Linked DNA regions of Arabidopsis thaliana. Each later gene encodes a partner of the first gene's protein in a complex. Each region holds a gene or a part of one and is shown on either strand. Other genes may lie near its edges. The genes, in order: EDM2, AT5G11470 and AT1G05970.

Region 1 (8,128 bases):
CTTTACAACCATGTTCTCTAATATTCTTTCCCAAGTTACTTTTTGTCCTTGTTATTGCAGGCAGAGATGCTTCTACAGCCTCGTGAGATCTTTGAGGTGTTGTAGTGGAAATTGATGTGCAGACAGCATATATATCATCTGGGGAAGACCTAACAGGACTCTGCCAATCAGATGTCATTTCGGGAATTTTTACTTTGATGCTCTCTGGTGCTCTACTCAACTCTCCTTGATCCTCTTCCATGTCATTGCTCTTCCAATCCACATTATTAGAATCCATAGATTTCCCAAGCTTCCTACCAGAGTAGTCTTTGGTCTTTCCCTCCTTTTTCAGCTGACTTCTCCGTGACAAGTGATCTGACTGATGTACACGTGCTACAGTTTCTACTGTGTCGATTTTCTCAGAGACTAAGATTTTATTAACGCATTCAGCTACCTCAAGTTCATCCTTTTCCATAGGAATATCATCACACATGCCATCAGAAGCTCCAAGTGGATGCAAAGATGCGTTTGCTTCTTCTTCCACTATCTTTAACTTTGAGCTCCCCACATCCCTAGACAAATGGCAATGCTTCTCCGCTATTTTCTTGTGCTTGGCTGCAAAGTCGGACCGACTCCAGAGAGAAAGTGGCGGAGGAACAAGGTTCCAGTCTTCCAATTGCTTGTCTTCTTCATTGACAGAACCAGGCAGGTAAAATGACTGAAAGGAATAGGCAAGAAGCATAACATGTAACTGAAACTCAATAAAGGCTCAATCTCTCAAAAAGCAAAATCAAAAGAAAAGCGAAAGATTTACATTTCCAGATAGGAACGTCTTATCCTCCCATATAAGCACATATGATGACTTCTTTTTATCTAACCTGTTGAGAAAAGTGATAGATTTAACAAGAGAGAGAGAGAGGAGTCGATATATTAGTGTTATGGAATGGTACAGAGGAGCAGATGAGATAGATGGAAACTGAAACCTTTCAGTCTCGGGAGGAACAATGAGAATGAGAATCTTTGGGCGGAACTCAAGAGCCTTGGTAATAAACTTGTTTGCAAGAGAAGCATTGACTCCAAATGGTGGATTTAGCCCCATAATCTACTCATAATTCCAAAAATATAAACAGTCAGATACTACTCAAACTATTTCAATGACACTGGAGCTTACACAAAGTTCATACTAAAGGAAATTTGTGTCTTACCAGCTTTGAACCTGGTTCCAACTCATCTTTACTTACAGTCATCCAATCCTTTCTCTCAAAATTGAAATTATTCTGAAAGTAAGATAGCTAATCAATGAGTAATCCTAGAAGACTGATGAATAGAACACACCACGATCTAACATATGTTGCTTCCGTATCAGTGATAAGACTTTACAACTTACGACAATAGTAGGCACACACACACAAGTCATTACCTTCGCTGGAAAAAGATCGTAATTTTTATATAAGCACTTCTTCCCCGTTTCTTCAAGCTTCGCGTTCATCAGACAGCTAAAGTCATTAGAACCACAACAGAAGTCGACAATCTGTTGGAAGAGATCCCAGAAACCAGACATCATTGTTTATGCACAAGACATTGATCATTATACTAACAAGATCATACTTCAGAATATAAGAAAAAAACTTAAGAGAGGTAAACAAAATAATAAAATTAAACCCAACAGATAACGTTTGTGAGCAAATCTCACCATATCACCATCATCTGCATACCAATGCAGCCTATCAACAATCTGCACAAAAAGTAATAATAGGTCTGGTCAGGTACAAGCTTCAGATACAGGAGTTAAAATTTGACAAGAGTGTGTAAACAGCAGGTGATAGTCACTAGTCACGCAGGTGACAGAAAGTGTAAACCAACAGCATAATAATCCTCACAGAAGACAGATTAAGTAAGCTAATTGGAAAGACATAACATCCTACATTTTAAGAGTCATCTCTCCTTGAATTTTTTTCTTTCTCACTAATTGACTAAGTGTGAACCGAAAATCCTTGTAACATACAGGATGCTTAGACCTAAATCTTGTTTATGCTTTTAAGAGGATAGATTACCTGTTGAAGTTTTTCAGGATTAGTAAAATGACGACCAAATGAGGTATAGCGTGCACCATGGAGAAAAGGAGCAAGATAAACTTTGAGCTTATCCTGAAGCAAAAGAAATAAACATCTACAGGATTAGCAAAAATTACTAGTTACAAACAAAGATAAATAAAAAGGATGTCGAAAAAGCTAAGCTAGGACCTTCCACTTGAGGATTTGGCTCAGAACCTCTGGCTCACAAACTGCTTTTGCATCCTCAATGTTTCCTCCTTCCTCAAGCTTTTTTAGTGCTGTTCTGATAGCCTGAAGAACCAAAATTTTAAATTCATAACTAGAGGGTTAAGAGAGGCCAGATAGGGATCGGGTTCAGATTTTTAGCCCACCTGGACTGATCCCTCTACCTTCCCCATAGTGATTGTCTTGTCCACAACATTCCTTGTGGAGTGTGTACTCATAGTAGATTGAATTTTGAATTTCTTTAAAATAGTACCCATAGTTATTTCTTCCGTAGCTTTTTTCATCACTGCCAAGAGCCTATTGACAAAAGTAGATTACAATGGAAGAAATTTACTAATAGGCCCCAAACAACAAAAATACAAACCTCCTTTGAGAGTCGTTGTCTAATGTAGGAATTTCACTTCCTGGCTCCTTGGAGGCAATTGAGTCAGTCTTATTGTGCTTGCTATCAACAGGAATCACGCGCCCAGGTTTTACTGGATTAGGTTCCTGGGTATAACTAAACAACCTCTCACCCAGTGAAATCTTGCTTTTACCAGCATCACGGGCTTCTTTTACTCCCAGCTTGTTTTTGCCAGCTTCACGGGAGTCTTCCATCATCTTCTGGGATTTTTGTGGAACCATTTTATGCTTTATGGATGGATCAATATCCTTACGTTTCCTCGAATGATCTGGTACGGATGAAACTAATCCATGCTTCTTTGTGGAGAAACCATCTTTTGAAGAAGGAAACGAACTTCTAAAGGAATTCTTAGAAGCTTTTCCACAAGTATCTTGTAAGGCAGGATCCTTAACCTTAAGTCTTGCTTTATCTCGTCCCACATGTGATTCCAGTATCCTTCTTTGCTCTTTCACGAAGACCTTCTGCTCTTCCGTGAAAGGAAACTTAACATGGTCTCTAACTGGTGTCAGAAGTTCTTCATCTATCTCATGTTCTCTAGGCAAGGTATCTCATTCAAAATAAGTGTCTCAAGGTAAATAATTATAAATTCAAAATACACCATATATGAATCTTACTGGCAATATATGAGTACACGGTTGTGCAAGAGTCCGTCCCATGCCCTAGTTAATATATCCTCGTCCTCAATATCTTCAAAAGAAATTTCCCTAGAAACCAACAAGACAGTTATTCAAATAGAGTTCTGAAATAGCAATAGAAAATGAATGATGAATGAATGAAGGTATACCGCGGTAGGCATTTTCTATGGTAGGACTTTGGACAACGCCGGCAAACAGCAAATTGCAAATTAGAGTCTGTCTTAACCTCTCCGTTTTCACAGACACTGCATTTGTGCAATGGGCATGTATACTCTCCAGCAATGATTTGTCTTTCTAGTGCTTCAGACTCTTCTTTATTTCCTAAACGTAGCCGTCTTGTGACACAGTGAGGATGGTAAAAGTAGCCACAGGTGGCTGACACGCATTGGAAAACCTATGAACATGTTTAAAACACAAAGCTCAACCAATTACTTGTCAGTCACCATTATCAACAAAACATGTCTGAACAGCATTCAACATTAGAGATCAATAATTGCATACCTCTGCTGCTCCAGAAGAGTTATCAGAAGAGCCAAGGTTCTTGCAAATGAAGCATTGATGTATCTTATGCTCACAGTTTGGGCAAAAGTATTTCTGAATTGCCTGGAAAACAATCCATAAACAGCATTAACATAGACTCCATGCCTACTCAAGAAAACCAAGACGCCCAGACATATTCAGAACTAATGAAAGAATCATATATGTTACATACTTCCACTTGCATCTTGTTAAAGCCAAGAGAATCACAAAGTGAATCTTCACCATCTTTTTTGGTAGCATGAAATGATCTCAGGCAGCTTCCTTCACAACTGCAGAAAGCAGAACACAAGACTTATGCATCTGGAATAATAACAGTGTATCTTTAGAACCTTTGAAGGCCTCAATTGCCTCAAACGCTGAATTTGCGTTTGCATGTTTCACAGTATTAAAACATTTTCAGTGTTTCATAAAATATTTTTGCAAATGCCAAACGCAAACAGAAGGTACGCTTGAGTTTCAAATTAGCAAAGGAAATTGTTCAAGACGCTAAAGGTTGTAGACTATTTGAGAAAATTCACACTAAATGTAAAAGCAAACGCTGGCATAAACGCACACAAATAATCAAGGCCTTATTCTAATAAAGAAAGTAAAAGGTGTAAGACTAATTATCAGAGATAATCAAACTACAAGATCAATATCCAGCAAGGAAACATACCACAAAATCTCGCCACCATTGTCACATATTGCACAAACAGACTCAAAAAAATCATCGTCTTCATCATCCAATTCATCTTCATCGGAAGCTACATAAGTGTCCTCATCTCCAACTATGAAATCATCTTTTGCATTGTCCTAATAAGTAATAACAAGTTCGTATCAGAAACTAAGACCGTGTGAAAGTAAGGGAAAAAAAGGGAAACGGCACATTAGGAAAGAGTACTCAAGTGGGAAAAAAGATTCGAACCTCGTCAGGTAATCTCCTTTTGGTAGGCTTTTTTGTGAGAAATGCAAGTATAAACTAGTAACACAAGAAAGAAAAACAGCACAAAATTAGGAGAGAATCAGGGTAAGAAAATGATACATATACAGAAAACATTCAGGCCAGAAAGCGAGCTAAACTCTTGATAACAAATATGGGCATCACAAGCTCTCAGGAAACAAAAGCTACAACACCTATAAGAGATTTAATGGACTCTTCTAATTCAAAAATCCCAAAGACCAGAAACTCTGAAAATTCTCCATACAAACCTTCGAATTCGCCAAATTTCTATCTCTTTTCGCAGCTTCAGCGATTAAACCAATATGATCCACCAAATCATTCTGCGATGGCTTCACATCATATGACCTAGAAACAACATCCAATCACTAAAGTTAAAAACCAAAAGAATGAAAACTCCCAGAGAGAAGAACAAAAGACCTGAAAAGCACAAATCAATCACCTCAAACTTCTAGTTAATTTCTCCCAGAGAGCTTTCTCGGACGCTTGGGGATTCCTCCTAAGAAACTGAATGGAATGCAACGTGACCAAAACAGTTCTAATCAATTCCCCATAGCTTTTCCTCGGTTCCTCAAGCTTAATCCATATATTATCCTTCGTAAGAACAGAAATCTCAGGCTGGAAGTTCGAAAGATCGTATCTCCAAGCCTTAACAAGCTTATGCAGAGGCAAAAGGCCGTTATCAGATCTTCCTCGCAAGTAAAAACCTAAACCACTACCATCAACTTTCTCCTCCACGCTCCATTGAATTGGGAGACGAGCAAACGAAACAGGCTCTTTATCATCATCTTCGAAATAATAATTGGAAGCTGATTGAGGAACAGAGAAGTCTTCCTCTTCATCATCGTCAACGAACGTCATTCAATCCCAAAATTCCCTTAACCCTAGAGACGTTTCAAAACACAAACGATCAAACGGGACACAACTTTCTCCTAAACCCTAAAAGAAATAGAAATTCAAAACTCGAATTAGGGTTTCGTTTTAGGAGACACAATGAACATGAATTGGACAATGAAGAAGACGAATAGCCTGGACATTTAAAGTCCTTCAAAGATTGGTACATCCAAAAATTGAGAAATTGAGAAAACGGAATTGAAGAAGTAAGCGAATGAATTGATTACGAAGTAGAAGAAGAGAAGTGATAAAAACCTATGAGAATTATCGTCTCTGTGTGTTGATGGAGATTATACTATGACGCAATTGAATCAAAAGAGAGTAAGAATTGAGGAAAAAAAAAGAGTAAGAATCGTCGTCGTCATTATTTTTTTCCAAGTTTATATACTCGCGCACGTGTGCAAGCAACGCCGCTGAGATTGTGTTTTTGTTTTTTTTTTAAATATGACAAATTCTTAACATAATTCGTTTTTTTTAGTTCCCTTAAATTTCGTTCTACAAATCTTCAGCATAAAATACGAATAAGACCGAGAATATTATATCCCTCTCCTTAATTAATATTTCGTATAGATTTCTCTATTTAGGGTTTTTATTGGATAACTATTATTCGAAGCAGGTACGTTTAAATAACAAGTCATGCAAGAAAGCATGCGCCTGGCTCTTGTAGCACGTTTGGTCTGCGATGGCACTGCAAAGTGCAACGTGTGACTGGTTCGACGCTCGAGCCAGGCATCAGCAGAGAGAGAGAGAGAAGAGCAAGCAACACCAAACAACAAAAACAATAAGTCGATAAATATAAATCATTTGAGGTATTCTTAAATATCTCTTTTTTGTGTTTTAGCCGACAAAACGAATGCAAATCATTCCTTTTCAGCACAGTTATAATTTTAAATGACATTATTTTATGAAGATAAAAAACAATGACATTTTAATGTTTACTCCATAAAATATTTTTATCTTTTTATCTTTATTGTTATTGTGGTAACAAATATAGTTTTTATTTAGTAGTAGTAACACAAACAGAGGTGATGTGAAAAAATATTACAAAGCAACTCTGTTCCGGCAAAGATAGTTCAGTCTTGTTGCTCTATTCGTTAGCTGCTTCCTCTGAGATGGAGGTGATATCTGACAAAATGTCTGCGTCATTGTCTTCTTCTATCGTTAGGCTCGAGACTTCATTGTCTTCTTCTATCGTTAGGCTTGAGACTTCGCCATTTAAAGAAGAGACTTCGTCTTCACCCGTGACAGATGGAGCTGGTGAAGCATCAGTGCTCGTGCATGTGCTAGTGCATGTCGTCGTCGTGCTATGAGTTGATGATGAGTCTGAACTCGAACTTGAACTCTCTGACGATGATGATTGTTGTTGAAGGCTCCAATACATTATACTTGCCGTTAGGATTAGTATCATCTTTTGATTCACCTGCAACAAAAGACATTTAAAAACATCAGATTTACATTTTGATGTATGTTGTTTTCTTGTTTCGGAAGATTTGATTCCGTTCTTTACCTCCACGATATCTTCTGGCAACAAGAAAACCGAGCAACCAAGCTTTCTTGCTACGCTGACAATGTATGTAGCATTCAATCTCTTCTCATCGTCTGTTACAAAGTTTCCATAGCGAAAAAATAACGATTAAACAAATTCAGTTTGAACAGAGAAGAGAAAGAGAGTGAAGAGGTTGTGAGTGTAGTTAGAGAGAGTAAGGACCTGATTCACCCTTGGTGACAAGATTCCAGTTAACAACTCTTGGCTCAACCGCCCATAGAAGATCGAGGAAGAATAATCCGCTCGATAGACTTTTATCCTATTGAAGTTTAGCAAGACAGATTTTGTTCAACATAAGCTTGTTCAGTTGAACTTTTTTTTTTTGAGTTTTGATAAAAGTAAAAGATGGAACCTTGAAGCTTTCGATCTGCGATTTCCGCCCCATGATTCTGACTTTCCTGTTAGCCCAGCTTATGATTTCTGAGTCGGTCATGTCTTTTCCTCGTGTCCGAGATCTTAGACTCTTGAGAAGTTGGAGCATATGTGTTCTCATCAACTGCCATAAGAAGCCTGAGACATGTATACACACCTTTAGTGTTATACAATTTCTAAGACTGTTGAGCATCTTAACAAAATAAACATTTTTTAGCTAGCTAAGAAGAGTAATTACCGAGGATAAGCTTTTTATTTCCTTGAACAATGTCATTTCCAGCTACATTTACGAGCGAGAATCTCATCTCTTTCCCAATCTTCACGACTTGATTGCAATTCTCTACTTTTCTAAACGGCATCTTAATTGGTGGTTTTGAAGCCTGCTTCCAGTTAACTGAGCCTGGATAGACCTTATCAACAACTTCCAGAAGAATCCATCTGCATCAGAAATATTCAGTATTGAAAAACTTATAATACGTTTCAGGACCAAAAGATTATAAATTATTTTGCATACCAAATGCTTACCCGTTTCTAACATCTTCA
Region 2 (7,921 bases), about 19 Mb from region 1:
AAGGAAACGGTCACATTAAGCGGATGGGTTTAAGAGCTAAGAAGACCTAAGCTTTTTAGTCATCATCCTATTCACCGTCAATAATCTTTGTCTGCGTGGATGTCTCTCTATACGCCACGTGGACACGACTCACCGTGACCTCACCAGTGAACCATAGTTAAACACATCTTTCGCCATCATTACTTTTTTTCTCACTTATTTGTCGTTTTGTGCTGACTCAGATTTTCCTTTCTTTTATTTCATGATGACACGTGTAATGTCCATTTCTCTTCCAATACGGTGCGTTTTGGTCTCACTACCTGTGCTGGCTGTGCATTCTGTTTTTTTTTTTTTAATTAAAATTTTTATACGCCTACCGAAAAATTCCTTTTGCTGTATTTTATAACAACGCAAATTAAATAATACGGAGTATTTTTAAACAGTAGACTAGGCGAGATTTTTCAGAAGATTTGGTGCATAATAGTGTGTAGGTGTGTCTGATAAGCCATAATTATTTTCAATATAACCTTTTCGTTTTTGGATCGATTATGTAATTAAGGCTGATTATTAGTGATTACACCTTTCTGGTTGCTGGAAATATAGGAGGCAGGAGAACGAAATGTCGTGGAGAATGTACCTTCTTCAAAAGATGTGTTGTCGGTGATTACCTTTTTTCACCACAGAAGCATCAACCAGAGGCTACTACTATTAAAATTGCATGATACGCTAATTAGTGAAATGAAGTAAAATTTATTTTATTCTTTGGCGAGGCCCACTTAGGGAGCTAGTAAGACCCCACTATTTTATTCTTTGGCGAGCGAGGCCTACTTGCCCATCATATTCAAGTGGATATGGAATGAGTTGAAACTCTTTTTCAGATGACAAGAGACGGGCTTAAGTGGTGAAACAACTAGTTAGGCTAAAAGGTGCATCATAAGGAACTTTTTTAAACCCCTAAAAGGTCACAATTACTCTCTTGACCTTTCCTGATCCACACAAAAGTTTAGCACTTCACTAGTGAAACTGACCCTTACAAAAAAATATGTAACTACAAAAGGGTCGTCCGATTTGAGACCAGAAGCCGCATCAGTATATTCCTCCTAAACACAAGCAAGAAAGAAACAGCACAAGTGCAAATTATTCACCTTTTCTTGTATATTTTGATTTGTATGACATCAAGCAAAAATATCATAAAGAAACCAGGTGTTTACCGAGTCAAAGTTGGGGGACTGGATGGCATGAAACCAAAATTCTTGAGTCTCACTGTCTTTAGAGGCTAAAAGAGACCTTGTGTTTTTCCTTCTAATCTACAGTTGGTGATATTTCTGTCTGAAGCAAAGAAAGTAAGTGATCATTTGGTTCGTTTAGATGATAGACATGTAGATAAGAGCTAATACTTACACGAGAGTGACAAGATGATTCTGAAACTAAGGAAGTTTCAGCTTGAAGTTAATCCGCAGCGACTTCATCTCCTCCAATTGCCGCTATAAGGGTTTAAGGATTCAGTTATTCTTAAGGAATTGAAGCACACTTTTTTCTCATTTTTCCAAACAGTTCCAAACAGAAACTCATGTTTTCAGTAAAATAGTGGCAATAATCGTCTAGACAATCTAATTACCTTAGATACACTTTCAGACGCCTGCTCGTGTCTGGCTTGGTGCAAACACCATTCCATGGCCATGTCAAATTCAAGGTTGTTAGGCTGAGAAGAATGTGATGTAGCCACGGCATCTCTCTGGAAAAACATATAAAGACCAAAGAGCAAGAAGATTAGTAACGTAACAATGCATTTTTATTTGTGTGCATTATGCAAGGGAAAGGGAAATGAAAACAATACCATCTCCCGTCGCGTTTGAGTTTTGTGTAGTTTGATATGGCCTGAGAATAATGACGGCTTCCCTGGTGGAGTAATCTTAGCGAAAGAAGCAACAAGGGGCCTGTTGAGCAAAAAAGGCACAGCAGAGATTTCTGAGATGAAAGTATGCCAAAAAAATGGCACTGTACATCTCTGCAATTTATCATAGGAAGCTTAGAGAAAAAAGAAGAATATGTCATTTCAGGTTCACCTCCCACTTGATAGCAACAAGCATCCCTCATCTAGTCTTCTAATCACCCTTTCTGCAACTTCTCTTGTTTTGAAAATGACCAAAGCTTCACCTGTATATCAAACAATATGAGGTGCTCTTCATTCCATTTATAGTATGTGAGAATCATAAATTAGAACCCGGTGAGTAAAATGGTAGCTTACCAATATGAGGAATAGTGACTGATGTACGCTCTATCATCCTCGCTTCGCATTGCTGGTTCAAAGCAGAATAGACTATATCCTGAAATACAATTCATAAATTTCTTAGGTTGCATAAAAAGAGAAAAGAAGGGAGGTTTCCATGAAGTAAATCAGGAAACAACTGCATTACATTAGGTTACATTGAGTAAGCATATACAATATACATTTTAAGAGACTCCTAAATGTTGTTGAAAAAAAAAGAGACTCCTAAATAAACTGTAATACCTCCACTTCATCAGATGTATAAGTAGGATCCAAGTTTTGAAGAAGTACCACAGTCCCTTTTTTTTCTGCTTCCCTCATACTTTCTTCCCAAGGCTGGACATAATTTAGACAAATTAAAAAGTCAGTCCATAATTTCTGATACGACGTACAGAATCTGATAACAATTCAGGCTAGCTAGAAGAGACTACGCCAGCCAAACAAAAAATAGGTGCGGATAGAGAAAGTAAACAATTTGACTGCAGATTCAAAAGTAAACAACTGAGTCTCTCGAACATAGAAACGATCAAGAAAATACACTACTTTCTGAATAGCATATGAACGAGACGTTAACAATATTAACAGGTCACTCTACTAACATCATAAAACAAGCATGTCAAACACGAAAATGGAGGCAACCAAAAACGACATTTACAGAACTGGGGTGCAAAAAAAAGTTAAGGAAAAGATACTTACAAGACTCCGGAACCATTTACTTTTTCCCTGAAATAAATAAGGAAACAAAAATCTGTTAGATAAACCTCAATGTTACCAAGCATTGTGGTAACATAATAAGATGAGAAGAATGACAGAACATCACTACAACTATACAACATACAGTGTGAAGGACTGTAAAACAAAACTGCTCCTTTTAGAATTGTGTTCTTGCAAAACCACATCCTTGCATCTAAAGATTTTACAACACGCTCTGAAATCTCATGAAACAGCCAGTTCCAAACCAATGTAAACTAAATCATATTGCAGGAAACATATAGTAAGTATAAACTTACAGCATCCGGCCTTCGGCACACTTCAGTTACTTGATAGTTTCTTTCATTATCATCTGCCGACATCTTGTCCTCAGCACGTCCAAAGCTGGGCTTCTTGGATATACCTTTTTCAGTTACAGTTTTTGTAGTTTTTCCTTCAGATACTGACACTACAAGATCTCGGTTCTTAACAAAGCTGCGCTTTTCGGGAGGGACTTCCTCTATAGTCACTTTGTCTCTAGGTCTCTTAAAAGATCCTGTATCCTTTTTACCATCAGAAGTAATGTTCTGCAAAATGGTTGTATCCCATCCATCTCGTACTGTAACAGAACCATCAAGTTTCTGTTTCTTCAGAGGCCTGTCATCCAATCCACTCGACTCTTGACTATATCTTTCTCCAGCGGGCATAGATTTTTGTTTAGTCAACTGCTTTTTAACATCATTTTCTTGAGCTTTCTTTGAAATGGAATGAATTGTCCTGGAGCCAGAAGCTTCAAAAGAGTTACTATATCTTTCTTCGCCAGGCATAGATTTTTGTTTAGTTAACTGTTTTTTAACTTCACTTTCTTGATCTTTGCCATTATAATGATTTCCCCTAGAGCCAGAATCCTTGTTAGACCTTTCTTCTGCAAGTGTAGATTTTTTTATAGCGAGTTGGTAGTGACCTTTTTCTTTCTCTTCTTTGCAACCATTACTGTTTTCTTTACAGTCAGAAGATTCAAAAGCGCTGTCTTCGATTTTCCTAACTGAACCACTAGCTCCCCTAGCTAAAGGACCATTTGGTTTCAAACTATCTGACTTCCCATTTACGTCTGCTTCAATATTCTGCACCGCAGTTGCTTCTTTCTCAGAGCACGCTCTGTTAAAGATAAATTTAACTGCAAGAATTAGAGTGAAAAGAAGATATGATGTAAATAAAGAATCAAGATAGCTATTGAGTAGAATGTCAAAGCTATCAACTAAGATGAAACAAATTGTACCGTCAACTCCAGCAATCTTATCATCAATCGTATCCACAACTTTGCAACTTCCAACATCAAATGCTCGGCAAAACACGAAGTCCGCTGAGTTGAATTTTTCATCCGAGGGTTGTGGATTTCTTTTGTCTTTTGAAATGCATAGAACAGAGCATTTTCCACCGATTGCTTCCTAGTGAAATAATGTCATATCAGTATTAAAGCAGGTGTAATTTTAACTAATCACTTGCACCAGCTATTCGCACAATGGCACAAAGTTCAAACGAATATTTCAACCAAAAAGTGAAGCAAAGGTAAATCTCTCAAGACACAAGGACATGTTTGATTCACCATAGAAAGACGCTTGTAACAATGTTAGAAACCAACAAAAGTAATTGATCAACGTATTTCTGTTTGGGGAGCTTTGGGATGAGATCTATGCCATGGTTACAAAAGAGGACAAAAAAGCTACTTGGAGCACATATGTTGGTGAACAGAGAACAAGTTATCCTACCGCAAAGAATATAATATTCAACAAAACAAAAGTGGATGGACAATATAATTTAGTACGCAGCATAATATGAGATACATATCAATAAGAAAATGCCATGACATGCTCAATAAGTACTATGGAGAATGAAAATTCAACATAGTATGCAGAAGAATAATTAGTTACCAATTGGTTGGTATTAGCAAGGCCAAGACCTTCACCCGATGCTAAAAACACTTCATTGGCAAGTACATTCGGGACTCCTTCAAGATATGGCGCAATCTCAGAAGGTTTAAAGAACCAGAGAAGCTTGACTTTCTTTGGGATATGCTTATTAGCGTGTTCCCAAATTTTTATGATCATGCCAATGAAGGGTTCAGTAGAGTCTGGTTCACTGGCATTGCCAACTAAGACACAGTCATAAAGACGGTATTCATCGCCATCATAGGTGAAAGATTCATAGAACTGGACATCTTTCTTTTTCCCACCAACACCTTTCTTTTTACCCCACTTAAATTCTAAGCCTTCAGATGCTACAGATTCTTCCATTCTCTAAAAGCAATTTTCTACCTAGACAAACAGCAGAATAGTGTATCCAGATCAGAATTGCACGAGGAACTGATTAGACGACTGAACATATATCCACAATCGTTCATTTAAATGGTTGCATTGATAAATCGAAAGGAATACAAGAATTCCAACAGAAGATCAAACTCGTTTTCCAAGGATAACCGAGAGTACCCTTGACAAGGTGCAGAACACTTCAAGGACTTAAAATACTAAGACCAGAAGACACATAAAAGGAAAAAACCATCACAAGATAGATCAAATCAATGATCCACCATATACTCCCAATCAATCAAACCAAAATCACTCCCGAAACTCTATCAGATCCACTGTTAAACAAGGCAACACATTAATCTTTCAATTGAAATCATTAGCATTGTGCATATAACCAAAAACCATCCAATACATTCTTATAATGCACCATAACCAATCCATAAGAAACTTTTAAGTATTCAGTACTCAGACTAACGTTTAGTAATGACAAGGCTCTCTAAAAAAGCACGCAAGTCCACCAAAAAATACCGAAAGCAGCAAATCAGTTGATCAACGAAAGAAACTCCGTGAGAACAAAGAACACTAAATAAAATAGTAGATAATTGAGTTCAAGTAAACAAAAAGGCGATTCAGAAAAATCAAAAGATCACCAAACTACGCAATTGCAAAAAAGTGATAATATCATTTACGCAATGTAGGTTGAGATAAGCTTTTGCGTTCGTAAGAAACAGCGATTAACTGGGAAACAAAGAAGACGAAGTACTTTCACCAACAATTCAACTTTTTTTTTACCTTCACTGAAGAAATCAGTTTACAGTTTCCGAAGCCACCGAACGGAAAAATGGAACCCTAGCGAAATCAGAGTGACGCGAGTTCGATTAGGTCAAGATGAACAGAAATTGACGAAGCCCAGGTTTATCGCAGAGGGAGAAAAAAAAACCCTAATCCCTCGTTTTACCGGTTACTACAGTATCTCTCCACTTTATCTATCGCTAAAGTTCATCATAAACAAATTCAAATCAAAATCTCTATAGAGCAATTCAGTTTTGGTCGAAGATTGTTCTTGTTGTTGCAGTTTCCAGAGAGAACGGTAAGTTCATGAAAGCTTTTCTCCTCCCATTCCCCCTTTCTCTGAGATTTTCTCTGTTACTTACTTTTTTAAATGAGTTGCACAAAAGACAGAAAGTAAAAATGATTAGGTCTAAAAAAAATACATTGAAATTGAATTATGCACAAAAGAAATACGTAATTTTAGAGAAAATATATTTGAGCAAAGATTTTTACCCCCTAAATACAACAATTTCTTTATTTTATTTTTTCTATAATAATAAATTTCCAATTTTTTTACACATGTATATGTGAGATACGGTCTGATCATATATACTAACCGTTAAACAAGATCATGGAAATTTAATCATATCTTCTAACTCGAATTAGTGAGCTTATATCATAATTTGTTTAGAATTATCCCTGATAAAAGTAGTTGTGGTATAAATGCTACATCCCTATTTTAGACTCTTACTTGTTTTGATACTTAAAATTCAAAATCAAAATCATGGAGTGGAGAAATTTATTGTTCTTCTAATGACTCCTGTCAATGGTCACACGTTTTAAAAAGATGGTGTCTTTAACAAAGCCAATGGACTGTGATTCTCACCATTCACCAATGCAATATTAATCACATACTCTCTATAGTTGAATGTGTTTTAATTTTCTGGAACACCCATTAATCTTTTGGCAACGGAGGTCAATATCAAGAAGTTAAGCTATCTATGCTTTTCACTTTTCAGTAAAGGATACAGAACAATTTTTGTCTCATTAAGGCCCACTACCAAAAAGGTCTGAAGAGTTGGGTTTAGGGATACTAGGCTGTTATATGGGCTGCTTCTAGGGTCTCGTAAAAAGAAACGGCGTCGTTTTTCTGTCTTTTAAAAGTTTTTTAAAAATGCGGTGAGCGTGGATCGAACACGCGACCTTCAGATCTTCAGTCTGACGCTCTCCCAACTGAGCTATCCCCGCTTGATGCTTATATGCTTAACCTTTTATCTATATTTCCTATATTTGCGAATAATTTTGTTGTTTTTTTCGTTTGTTTGTTGATTTTTACAAAAGTTTAGTAGAGTCCGAATACATTACAAGTTGTAACACAAATACATTAAACAAAATCTCAGCGTTGCATTAATCAAAGACAGTGCCCAAATAATTGGTACACTAACTGTTAGTTTTGTCGTTTTACACTAACTGTTATATAAGTCTCCTTATAAAAAGATAATATGGAGAAGTGTTGTTTTGGTTCTCAGTGTTTGAGCCAGTAGTTTCTTAGCTGAGCCATATGCAACAATATCTCGTCCCGACCTTGATTCGTCACACTGCTGGTCATAATCCATGGCGGTGTTGTCTCAAAGAACCCTTGGATCAAGTCTTGGAACTCCTTTATGTTCGCCTCCGGTTTCTTCCCTCCATTTTTCTTCTTCTTTCTCTTGTCGCATTTTGTGAATATCAAAGTCATTGGAACCTGAGAGATATAGATAGCAATCATTCATTTCACAGAGACATTACACAATTAGTACAAGTCTTGACCATGATTGCCAATTAATGGGTTAAAGTGGGGTTTTCAAGGTTTAGGTACTTTTTATACCTGGTTTTGACCAAGCCAGCTTGCATACTCGAGATCGAT
Region 3 (4,236 bases), on another chromosome or scaffold:
GAATCAAAGAAAACCTAGCAGCTGCGATTTGATTGGCACCCTAAATTCAATATCTAGTTACCAAGATCGCAATCCGGAGAACCCTGAAAACCCAGAACAAAAAAAGGGAAATTTAGAATTTTCGATCCCGGAAAGGAAATAAAGGAATCAAATTCAGAGAAATTACAAATCCAAATTGGAATTAACCAGGAAAAAAGAGAGAGATAGAGATTGAAGAAGGAGAGAATTTTACCAGGAAGATGGGGAAAAGCCAGAGAGGCAGCTTGGGGAGAAGAAGGCAAATCTAATCCCGCTTGCCCGCTCAGAGGTGGCATTGCTCTTCTCTCGTCTTTTTATCATTATTTTATTTAATCTCTCCATTTCATTATTAAAAAAGCTCTCTCTCTCTCTTCTTTCCGCCATTAATGTCGGAAAGTGTCAGTCCGAATTCCTCTTTAAATTACCAATATACCCTTCAAATATCTTGTAATGGATCCACTAGTGCTTATGTGATGCGGGCTATATACGGTCCGAATTTTTGAAGGTTGTTTTCTGCTGAATGGATCCATTGACTAGTCCTCTATGATTCTTGACAATTGTTCTTTTGATCTTTTCTTAATTTTTCTTGGTTTTTAATTCCCTTCAGAATTGGTTTGGTGGTTCATGACTAAACCGAAAATTATTATATTCGCTTTACACAATTTTTAGTTTGGTTAATAGTAATACAATTCAAATGTCTGATCCAACATAGAAATCAAGCTATCTCATCTCAAATGTCATACACTACTCACAAGACTTAAGAACCGGGAATGTAGAAAACCAAACGCCAAAAATCTGAAATATCAGAGAGAGCAGAATATGTGTCTCTAAAGCTTAAATCTTGTTTTGCTTGAGAATTAGGCATTAAGAGGAGAGGTCAAGGTAAACTAAAGCAGGGACTTTGATTATCTCATTTACACGCTTCTACTTGTTTCACATAAATGAGAATGTGGAACATTCTTCATTACGAGTTAAAGTCAGAGCGCCTACAGCAAAGTCAGCTCAACCAAAATAGACACTGCACAAACTAGTGACATAAGGAAGTTCTAAGCAAAATACCATATGCAGTCTCTCTCTACCGATAAGGAAAACCTTTCAGGTCGTAACGGCCAGCCAGTTTCTGAGCAACACCATCGTAGAGGAGTTTATCCATCATCTCAAACTTCTTGTGATGTGTTACCGCCGTCTCAGCTTGCTGTTTCGACAGCTTCTCTGCCTCCTCAAGCTGTTTCTGACAACAGAAGACAAGAAAACACATTCACACAATAGCACACAAGTCTTCATTAACACTATCACCGCCAATCAGATCCAATACCACAGGAAGAGACAACAAACAAACGAAAACAAAAAACAAAAAATATAAGCACCTTGAGCATGAACGAATTTTCAGCACTATGCTTACGAGCAAGCCGCTTGACTCTCCTGGCCTTGTCGAAATCAGGATCGTTAGGCTTAATCCAGCGAAAACGGACCGTTCTACCAGGCTTCTTCGGTTTATCAACAAACATATTAGGCTCAGCAGCACAAGCTCTCACAGGCCTTGGCATACCAGCAACCATGAAAGGTAACTGTGAGACAGTAGAGATAACAGCCTGTGTCATCTCTTCATTCTCCATCTCAACAAGAACACCCATAGGAAGCTCCTTTGGACCCAAGTAGTTAGGTATGAAGCTGACTTTCTTGACAGTCCCAAACTGATTGAAAGCAGATGAAATAACAGGAGCTGTGGCAAGAGGCGTGAGTTCGTCTACGTAGACAGTACGACGAACTCTCTCTAGGAACTTCTCATACGCTACTTCTTCCGGAGTCGCCATCACTAACCAAATTAAGAAGAGAAAACGATAAACGAATTTAAGTTCAAATAGAACAAACCCCAAATTGATTCAACAGAGTTACAATTTCCGTCTTAAATATATGCAACGAATTTTCTGGAAAAACAAAAAAGAAATCGGGGCGAAAATCTAGGGTTTCTCAGAGAAATGGGAATGAAGAGATAGTAGCGAAATCGATGGGGCATTGATGAATAGAAGGATAGAGATCAAAGAATTACCTGAACTGGAGAGAATTCGTGTTAAAGGCGTCGTCTCTGGAAGTAACTGTTAAACTCGTGTCAAAGGCGTCGTCTATGGGGGGAGACGAAATAAGGAAGAAGAAGTAAGTTAGGAGGATAAATGACGACTTTTATAGATTTATATATTTGTTATTGGATTCCATTATCAATGGCCCGTATAGCTCAGTGGTAGAGCGTCAGTCTTGTAAACTGAAGGTCCGTAGTTCGATCCTGCGTGTGGGCACTTTTTTATTTTTCAACCTTATGCAATTTTATTTTTTTCCTTTCCCTGTAAATTATAAAAAACATGTAGTTGAAATTAAATAAGATATTTTTTTTTTTGTAAGTATTAAATAAAGAGATTTAGTGAAAGCGATGCGACTCATTGTAATGTATCAATTTTGGATCTCTTTGTAGTTTTTATAAAACAAAATCTTTTTAGGATACTTTCATTGGCCATAAATCATAATAGTGGTTCACCACTTCATTAGAGTTTTTAGCTGTTTTTCTTTTAAGAATCAAATATTAAATCAAATTCTGATTTGATCAATAATAAACTGTTATTTAGCTAATGCAATTGTTTAAACTGATAAATGTTTGGAGCTAAACGTGCAACCAATATCCTCGAGGTGGGGAGTACCTGCCTACCATTTACTATCTAGTTTTTTAACAGCAAAATATGTCTTATTTAACTGGGATAAATGTTTGGAGCTAAACGTCACTAAAACTGTTCTTGATTAATTGTAACTGGGAATTAATTACGCTAACAATAATTTAAAACGAAACATATATTTTGCGTATACTAATGTTAATTCAAGAATGTAAATTCCAGGGTATTTGTCGCAGTTGTTTATACTAAATATTAATTCGCTCAGATTCAAGAATGTAATTATTTTACAAGAATTTTGTTATCTACCTTCAAAAGGATACACAAATCTATCAGATTATATATTATTTGAATGTTGACTCAACTTTCCCCCTAGTACTACTGTTTCTTAATTCTTACTTTTTTGTTTGGTGAAAACAAAGTATTAATTAAATTCCCACTATATATATAACAAATTTTAAGAAAATAATTAATTCCATAAACTCATAGAGTTGCATCCTTTTAAAACCCTCAACATGTCCATCTCTACCGATTAACAATATCAACCAAAGGCATATCTTTTTATCTCCTTCTTCCTTCCTATTTTTGGCTAATGAATGTCTCTTTGTTGCATCTCTTGTAACTTCCTCCTAGATTTTTGAATTCCTGCCCTTATCCAAGAAGCCAGGAAAGGGTAAAAGATTTTCTCGGCCTCGTGGAGCCCTCACCATTATCTTTTCTTCCTCCACACGCAACACTACAACTTTAAAAGAGATGGATCCGACAGAGCTAAAACGCGTGTTCCAAATGTTCGACAAGAACGGGGACGGGACGATCACGGGGAAAGAGCTGAGCGAGACACTACGAAGCCTAGGGATTTACATCCCGGACAAGGAGTTGACTCAAATGATCGAGAAGATCGACGTGAATGGTGATGGGTGCGTGGACATAGACGAGTTTGGTGAGCTATACAAGACGATAATGGACGAGGAAGACGAAGAAGAAGAGGACATGAAAGAAGCTTTCAATGTGTTTGATCAGAATGGAGATGGGTTTATAACGGTGGATGAATTGAAGGCGGTTTTGTCTTCCTTGGGGCTCAAACAAGGTAAGACCTTGGACGATTGTAAGAAGATGATAAAGAAAGTGGATGTTGATGGTGATGGTAGGGTTAACTACAAAGAGTTTAGACAAATGATGAAAGGCGGTGGTTTTAATTCTTTGTAGCTAATTAATATGGTTTTATTTTTTTCTGGCATTTTTGTGTTTTGGGATCCTTGATTTAATTAATTATATTGTCTTAGGAATGAAAGACACAAAAGAAAAATGATCCTAGTTTACTGCATTCTTGTTCTGTTTTCCTAGTGAATATTTTAGTTTGTGTTTTATAAATGCGTTTGATTTATAATGTAATGAGAATCCACCTGTGCCAATAATTGAGATCATTGGCAACTAGGCTAGCTAATTGTAACTGATGTAGCTCTATTAGGAGGAATCTCGTTTATAAATACTGAATCAATTAGACAAAATAAAGATGGTTGGCAATATCCGTTTGACAAAATTAGATTTTTGTATCCGAAAA

Evidence for each region.
Region 2: EDM2 (region 1) and AT5G11470 share a complex: the UniProt entries of both Arabidopsis thaliana proteins name them as parts of the ASI1-AIPP1-EDM2 (AAE) RNA regulatory complex.
Region 3: EDM2 (region 1) and AT1G05970 share a complex: the UniProt entries of both Arabidopsis thaliana proteins name them as parts of the ASI1-AIPP1-EDM2 (AAE) RNA regulatory complex.

Annotation. Positions count from the first base shown.
Region 1 is NC_003076.8:22,448,781-22,456,908, forward strand, and holds the start of EDM2 (ENHANCED DOWNY MILDEW 2), read right to left. Parts: upstream 6,026-8,128; 5' UTR 5,635-6,025; coding exon 5,216-5,634; intron 5,122-5,215; coding exon 5,025-5,121; intron 4,795-5,024; coding exon 4,741-4,794; intron 4,629-4,740; coding exon 4,492-4,628; intron 4,106-4,491; coding exon 4,009-4,105; intron 3,900-4,008; coding exon 3,798-3,899; intron 3,691-3,797; coding exon 3,446-3,690; intron 3,366-3,445; coding exon 3,276-3,365; intron 3,196-3,275; coding exon 2,623-3,195; intron 2,556-2,622; coding exon 2,405-2,555; intron 2,325-2,404; coding exon 2,223-2,324; intron 2,127-2,222; coding exon 2,034-2,126; intron 1,715-2,033; coding exon 1,673-1,714; intron 1,511-1,672; coding exon 1,400-1,510; intron 1,257-1,399; coding exon 1,185-1,256; intron 1,082-1,184; coding exon 963-1,081; intron 858-962; coding exon 794-857; intron 698-793; coding exon 1-697. Other genes in the region: AT5G55400 (Actin binding Calponin homology (CH) domain-containing protein), read right to left, coding at 6,755-7,087, 7,175-7,266, 7,376-7,472, 7,566-7,723, 7,824-8,023, 8,111-8,128. UniProt on the Arabidopsis thaliana protein: Cellular antisilencing factor and regulator of genome DNA methylation patterns involved in the regulation of chromatin states.
Region 2 is NC_003076.8:3,661,810-3,669,730, forward strand, and holds AT5G11470 (bromo-adjacent homology (BAH) domain-containing protein), read right to left. Parts: upstream 6,115-7,921; 5' UTR 6,037-6,114; intron 5,254-6,036; 5' UTR 5,233-5,253; coding exon 4,870-5,232; intron 4,387-4,869; coding exon 4,218-4,386; intron 4,116-4,217; coding exon 3,259-4,115; intron 2,972-3,258; coding exon 2,945-2,971; intron 2,585-2,944; coding exon 2,492-2,584; intron 2,307-2,491; coding exon 2,228-2,306; intron 2,137-2,227; coding exon 2,046-2,136; intron 1,917-2,045; coding exon 1,817-1,916; intron 1,715-1,816; coding exon 1,598-1,714; intron 1,464-1,597; coding exon 1,408-1,463; coding exon of another isoform or gene 1,407-1,407; exon of another isoform or gene 1,381-1,406; intron 1,309-1,380; exon of another isoform or gene 1,243-1,308; coding exon 1,191-1,242; intron 1,080-1,190; coding exon 948-1,079; 3' UTR 908-947; downstream 1-907. Other genes in the region: AT5G11480 (P-loop containing nucleoside triphosphate hydrolases superfamily protein), read right to left, coding at 7,541-7,759, 7,883-7,921. UniProt on the Arabidopsis thaliana protein: Collaboratively with AIPP1/EDM3 and EDM2, the AAE complex regulates alternative RNA processing (e.g. alternative splicing) and epigenetic silencing (e.g.
Region 3 is NC_003070.9:1,815,160-1,819,395, forward strand, and holds AT1G05970 (RNA-binding (RRM/RBD/RNP motifs) family protein), read right to left. Parts: upstream 2,178-4,236; 5' UTR 2,069-2,177; intron 1,835-2,068; 5' UTR 1,833-1,834; coding exon 1,386-1,832; intron 1,250-1,385; coding exon 1,094-1,249; 3' UTR 666-1,093; downstream 1-665. Other genes in the region: AT1G05990 (EF hand calcium-binding protein family), read left to right, coding at 3,429-3,881. UniProt on the Arabidopsis thaliana protein: Prevents gene silencing by suppressing CHG methylation as well as histone H3 lysine 9 dimethylation (H3K9me2) status at target loci.